2 linked regions of the Callithrix jacchus genome follow. The protein of the gene in region 2 purifies or fractionates together with the protein of the main gene of each other region. This does not show direct contact. Links are inferred from orthologs where the notes say so. Each region holds a gene or a part of one and is shown on either strand. Other genes may lie near its edges.

Region 1 (3,658 bases), on a different chromosome or scaffold from region 2:
AAATTTTTTTAAAAATCAAATCATTCTTTAGATAAAGTTAAAATATTAATTAGCATTCAAAAATTATATTGTTTATCTAACATTTTGATTTTTTTTTTGAGATGTAGTCTCTGTTGCCAGGCTGAAGTGCAGTGGTACAATCTTGGCTTACTACAACCTCTGCCTCCCAGGTTCAAGCAATTCTCCTCCATCAGCCTTCGGAGTAGCTGGGACTATAGGCGTGCACTACCAAGCTCAACTAATTTTTGTATTCTTAGTATACACAGGGTTTCAACATGTTGGCTAGGACAATCTCAATCTCTTGCCCTTGTGATCCACCCGCCTCGGCCTCCCACAAGTGCTGGGATTATTGATATGAGCCACCACGCCAGGCCAAATATTCTGTTTATTTTACATGTGAAAACAAGTAGGACTTGTCTTTAAAAAAAAAAACAAAAAAAACTCAACCTAGGATCCGTAAGTGGGTAAATTAAGAGAACCCTTAAAGATAACCACAAATCGTATAGCAAGTAAAATGAAATTCACTTTCTCCTTTATTCTTGTAATGATTTACTATTAATAAAATAGTAAACTTGACTAAACTCTTGATTTACTTATCTGAAATACAAAAGCTTGGCAAAAATTGTATTACTTTCATAACAAAACATAAAGGACACTTCAAAATGAAAACAGGGTGTCGCTCTGTTGCCCAGATTGGAGTGCAGTGGTGTGATCATAGCTCACTATAGCTTCAAACTCCTGAGCTCAACCAATTCTCCAGCCTCAGCCTCCTAAGTTGTTAGGACTATGGATGTACATCACCATGCCTAGCTAATTAATATTTTCCTGGAGATGGGTTCTTGCTATGTTGTTGCACAGACTAGCAGAAACTGTCTAATTAACAGTAAAATCTGCTGATTTACCTTCATTTTTTACATTACTTGTCTGTAAATCTGTGGGATGGCCTTGAAGTGAAAGGCGAGGTTGCTGTAAGCGGCTAATCATAGGCTGTGGAGACACTCTACTATATTCTATTCCTCGAGCAGGAGATCGTGAACGAGGTGAATTTCTGGGTGACTGCTTAGGTGACGGTCGAGGTGAATTGCGTGGTGATGGTGAAAACCTGTTAACAGCAGGGTATACTGCATGATGCATATTGTCATCTTCATCATCTAAACTTTGTGCATCAAGTTCCTGATCACTAAAAGTACCCCGTCTTGTAGAATTGCAAGAAGAACCAGAACTGCGCCGAGACGTGGTGGCTGCATATTCTTGCCGGAGACCTGGCAACAATGAATGTTATTTATTTAAATTATATTTTTAAACATTTAAATATTTTTAAAGTAAAAGATTATCACTGAGCAATTCGAATAGGGTGTAAAGTGTAAAAAAAAAACAAAAACAAAAACAAAACTCTCTTTCTGCTTTTAGACATCCTCCCATACAAGGATGCATAAATCACATCTGAAGGTTATTTTAAAATTAAACAAAATCCCATAAACCACTGCCCAATTTCCAGATTTCTTCTTAAATCTGAAATCTGTCTCACATGGTAGAATCATACATTTAAAAAAATGTCTACCCCTAAAGATAGTAATCCAAATTTGAGAGTAATATCAAAGGAATATTTAGGGGAAACAATTACCATCCAACCAGTGGAAAAGAATACATATGTGAGTAAATAAAACTCCTTGGATACTTAATTATTGAAGTAATCTTACTCATGAAAAGGATAAAGTACCAAACAAACACCTAACCCACATTTAGGGATTCAGTACTTGGGCACAAAGGAAATCTTGATTGCTTCATTACTCAAGAGACTTCAATTTCTATTGTTTTAAGCTTGTTTTCAAGCTTAAATTCTAAGTCTTCAAGTAAGAATTTTGAAAGAATTATCCTATATAGCTTGATACCTTCAAAAATACCCAAGCAATCTTGGGAGTACTTCAAGGAGTATAGATGCTTCTAGAACCAGAGAAAAAAAGTTCGTATGTAACATATTCAATGAGGAAACAAACTGCAATGCAGAAGTATAGAATTTAGGTAATACTCTCAGCACGTCCTGCTAACTATTGGCACTCTAGTCAAAAAATCTGTTATAAAGTGGTATTCAAATCCTCAAGTCCTGCATTCGCACACAGAAAGTGCTATTACTAACATGGTTCATCAAACTAGTAGATGAGAATCACCCTAGGGTATCTTTAAAACTATAAATTCCTAGAGTCCACTTAGTCCTTCATTCAGTTTGGGAACCAAAATAGCAACCAACAAGTTACTTAGTGTCTAGTTATAGCCAATATGGCACTAAAGTCACCTAACAAAAGACAACAGACCAGTGAAAAGAGCACCATTAGAAAAGAAAAATCCAGTTCCCAATGTAGGCTCTCCTAACAAGTGGATCCTAAGGAAGTCACAATCACTATAGGATCTTGCATTTTTCATCTTAAAAATGAATGACCTTGACCAGGCAACTGCCTAACTCTGTAATTCTACATTTCTAAGTTTTACAAAAAACAACGCTGTAAAAAGGAAAATCATCTCTAAGGGGTGGGTAGGGGAAGCTGCAGTTTTCAAAGAAGTATCACATATATTTTTATTATTATTTTTATTCACCAGGAAAATAAATATTCATGCATGTGAATGGCTTAGAAAAATTGTTAAAGCAAGACTAATATTTCTATTGTTACCAAAACACAATACAAAACCAAGAGCAAAGAGATGGCTGAGCTTGTAACAAAATACTGGAATCTAAAAAGCCAGGGTTCGAAGAAATAAGAGAATTATCCTAAGGTATAGAGCTAGGCAGCATTCTTTATTTTTTCACATCCACAACAATAACCAGCCCCTAACCAGCTGACAATACCACGGTCTCAGTGAGGAGTTAATTAAAATTACAGAAGAAAAGAGTACTATGCTATTGGGTTGTAGGGTTAAATAAAGCAAGCACTAAGTCCTTCTATTTTTCTAGGGGAAGTAAATCAGCAGAGTAAGAAACACTCTAGTTTCTTAATAAATGCTACAGCTTGATAAAGCTTACTATATTTAAAGAGAACCTATTATATACACAGACAACAGAAAGTTTTTGAACTAAATCATAGCAATGCTTCATTACCCTCAGCCAACTGTCAAGACTCTAAAATATGTATTTCAAGGATTCTTTCATTGTAAAGGTTGAAGAGTTTACTTTACAGAAATGTCTTACTTCATAGTTAAGCAGATGGTATCTCCTAATGAAATGCATAGACAAGAATAACTACTTTCAGATGATGACCAGGGCAAGTAGCCATGAACCCTCTAAAAAGTATTAAAAATTCTGTGCATGTGTACATTTTGGTGATAACAGGAGTCATAATTTTTACAGGAGTCTCAAAGGTATCTGTGGCCTAAAAAGTTTTCATGGTTCACTCTGCAACGTACCATCACATGCTTCATTTAATTTAATGTCACAATTCCAATTTTCTCCTAAAGGTCTTTTTTATAGTTTATACCATGTATTCTCAAGTGAGGAGATATTTATTCCCAAGAGGGCAAAAATTGGTTCTTGGGGTGCGAAAAAATTCTTAGATGTCATAATTGTATATGGCCCTCATAGTACTTAAACATATATAGAGTATATCTTGTGGCATTAAGATTTTATAGGGAGTGGGGGTGAAAAGGAAAAAAAGTTTTTTAAAAGGCT
Region 2 (3,658 bases):
GTTATTCTAGGAGTTTAACAAAGATAAACTGACATATGTGTACAAAGACCCACATTCAAAGATATTCACAGCAGCACTGCTTGTAACAGTGAAAGACCAGAAACAACCTAAATGTCCAACACAGTAGGCTAAGGATAAAGAAAGATATGTACATATAATGTACCAATACAAACAGTGACACACACATACATATACAGATACGAATAATCTTTCAGATAGTTCAAACATCATTAAAAGAAAATAGTGAGATACAGAACAAACAGTATGGCATGTCCCCATCTGTGTAAAGGAGGTTATATAAAAATATACATATGACAGTAGAGGTATTAAATATTTCTGGAGTAATACATTAAAAAAATGAGTACTAATATCCTCCCTGTGAAGGGATAATGGAAGAGAGACATGCTTTTCATACTATACTTTGCACTTTTTGTACTGCTTATAATTTTTAAAAAAGATTATGTATTGTGAAAACAAATTTTAGTACCTAATGAAATCAAAGCAAAATAAGAGAAATGACTGAACTAGCCATTTATTAAACAGTCACCAAATCTGCCTTGTAAGGTCTTAGAAAGAAAGATTAATGAAGAAGCTTATATGTCTAGTTAATTAAAAAAAAAACAACAACAATGAATATGTTCCATTCTTTGATTTTAAAAATGAAGAAACCAAAAAAAAGCTACTATATCATTTATTTCTATTTACAGGGACAAATAGGCAATAACTATATTCTATAGGTTTTTTTGGTAGGAAGTAATGCTCCTATAAACTAATATTTATTAAATATCTTAAATAAAGCAAAATATCTTAAATATCTTAAAACAAGCAAAAGAAACACTGAATTCCTAGATATTTCACAATAACATGAATTTCAGACGGCAAAACTATTCTTGAATAACAAAACAAGTAAAAATCTCTGACGATTCTTAATCCTTCCTTACCTTCAATCCTTTTTCATCTTTCATCCTTTGCTCCTTTCCATTTGGAACGACAATGAAAATCGGTCCAGATTTGTCTTCATCCTCCTTTAAGCTTGTTTTGCTTGGCACCTTCTTCCCTTGTGCACCCTACAACCAAGGTTCGGGGAATTCTGATTAGCTTGGCCACTTCTCCTTAAGAATATGATGCTGCTGCCCAGTAAAAGGGCACTATAGAAACCAGAGACATCTTTCTACATGATATTTCACATGAAAAAAAAATATGTCATAGAATCTTGTATACGTTTTTGAACAGGTTCTCCAGAAATTTTTCTGAGAATATTGTTAAGTAATTGTTGGTTAGCTCTTGGACTGGCATGCTATGTAGCTGTAAAAGCTACTACTACTGATCATTAGTCTAGGTCACAGACTTTTTGTTTATTGGATGATTGTTTTTATCTTGAAATCTTCAACACTATTTATAGCATTCCACATTAATGACATCTTTTTTTTTTTTTTTTGAGATGGAGTCTCACTCTGTTGCCCAGGCTGGAGTGCAGTGGCAGAATCTTGGCTCGCTGCAGTCTCTGACTCCTGGGTTCAAGTGATTGTCTTGATTCAGCCTCCTGAGTAGGTGGGATCACAGGCACCCACCACCACCCCTGGCTAATTTTTGTATTTTTAGTAGAGATGGGGTTTCACTATGTTGTCCAAGCTGGTCTCGAGCTCCTGACCTCAAGTGATCCACCTGCCTCAGCCATTAATGACACCTCGAATGGCATTTACACATTTCATATCACTTACTTTGAAAGCTTTTCTGTTTCTCTCCATTGATATTGAAATGTATCTCTATCATAACAGTATAACTAAAGGCCTTTCAAACTTCCTTCTAGAGAAAGTTATAAGAAATGCTTTAAAAACTTAAGTCACATGATTTTAAAAATAATCCAAGATTTACAATCTTCATATTAGATAGAAAATAGTAAAGAGTATATATGTTTAAGGTAAAATTCAAATTTCATTATTGGAATCATTATTATTATAAATGCAGCATGGCCACTATTTCTAGTTGGCCAGAATTTCTTTCTAGTATAAACACTAAGTCATTCAGACCAAACAAATATGAGATCATGTATATGAAACTGCTTTGTAAGTTTAAAAAGACTGGAAAAAAAACTGTGGCATTAAGAACGGAGTCAAAAAATACTTCAAAGCACTCGTGATCAACACTAAAATAAGCACTTGATAAATTTGGAGTGAGGACAGGCAGACAGGAAAAGAACAACATCTTTGGATAGTTGAAGATAATTACCCATTTAAATTAACTCACTGAGGAGTTAAAGAGCCAAGCATAGGGAAGAAAAATGGATAACTGTAATATTTAGAGGAATGACCCTAGAGCATGTACTCCAAAATACACTCTATTTTGGAGTGTATTTGTACATACACTGCCTAAAAAAAGTTATCACTCTATATTTTTTCATCAATTACAGGAAGTAAATTAAATACTTCCCTATTTAGATTTACTATTAAATTTACTACCCATTGCACAGTTTTTGCAATTTTCCTTTTGTAAGTATTAAATAATGCTCTGAATATGTTTATTAATCTGAATCTTGATAGAAATAATGACAATTTTCTGCTATTAAAAAACTTAAAATGAAAAAAATCACTCAAGGATAAAGTTGACCATTTGAACATACTGCTTTAAATTGTCCAACTTGCCGGGCGCGGTGGCTCACGCCTATAATCCCAGCACTTTGGGAGGCCGAGGTGGATGGATCACGAGGTCAAGAGATCGAGACCATCCTGGTCAACAAGGTGAAACCCCATCTCTACTAAAAATACAAAAATTAGCTGGGCACGGTGGTGCATGCCTGTAATCCCAGCTACTCAGGAGGCTGAGACAGGAGAATTGCTTGAACCCAGAAGGCGGAGGTTGCGGTGAGCCGAGATCGTGCCATTGCACTCCAGTCTGGGTAACAACAGCGAAACTCCTTTTCTTAAATCCAAATCAGCCTGAAGTGTTTATTATGCCAGAGCTACAAATGCTTTCTTTCTCCTTTTTTTTTTTAATTTCTGAGTCTCGTTCTGTTGCCCAGGCTGGAGTACAACGGCAAGATCTTGGCTAACGGCACCCTCTGCCTCCCAGGTTCAAGGGATTCTCCTGCCGCAACTTCCTGAGTAGTGGGGATTACAGGTGCATGCCACACCTAGCTAATTTTTGTATTTTTAGTAGATACAAGGTTTCACCATGTTGTCCAGGCTGGTCTAGAACTCCTGACCTTAGGTGATCCACTTGCCTTGGCCTCCGAAAGTGCTGGGATTACAGGCGTAAGCCACCACACCTGGCCCTTTCTCCTTTCAATAAAGCAAATCTTTCCCTAAAAATCTACATGAAAGGAACGATGACAGCACCTCTTCAGAGCAGGATGTCTCTATTTTAGGACCTTATTAAAAATGAGCCACAGAAATTTGTATAAATAATTTGTTAGTATCAACAGTAGTGATATTCTTTTACATATAATATGATCCTTCCTAATAGAATGACTCATTGTACAAAACATATTTAAAAGGAAGTCTACATTGAAGTATAGAGAACTGACATACCTTTGCTTTAGAGGATAATCCTGGAGCTTTGGCCTTTTTTGGATCAGGCTTGGGTTCTGCACTGCTGGAAACAGACTCTTCAGTAGGTGCTTTGAGGAAAAAAAAGCACATACTATAAACTTTAAATAATG

What was found. The genes of interacting proteins can lie anywhere in the genome.
Region 1: the proteins of CKAP5 (region 2) and SLAIN2 purify together in Homo sapiens (affinity purification with mass spectrometry; 4 studies listed by BioGRID and IntAct, counting the BioPlex papers as one, with this or other methods). This does not show direct contact. The link is inferred for Callithrix jacchus from reciprocal best matches to the Homo sapiens genes CKAP5 and SLAIN2.

What each region holds. Positions count from the first base shown.
Region 1 is NC_133504.1:145,434,480-145,438,137, forward strand, and holds part of SLAIN2 (SLAIN motif-containing protein 2), read right to left. Parts: intron 1,263-3,658; coding exon 903-1,262; intron 1-902.
Region 2 is NC_133511.1:111,814,439-111,818,096, forward strand, and holds part of CKAP5 (cytoskeleton-associated protein 5), read right to left. Parts: intron 3,617-3,658; coding exon 3,528-3,616; intron 1,068-3,527; coding exon 942-1,067; intron 1-941. UniProt on the Homo sapiens protein: Binds to the plus end of microtubules and regulates microtubule dynamics and microtubule organization. Acts as a processive microtubule polymerase. Promotes cytoplasmic microtubule nucleation and elongation. Plays a major role in organizing spindle poles.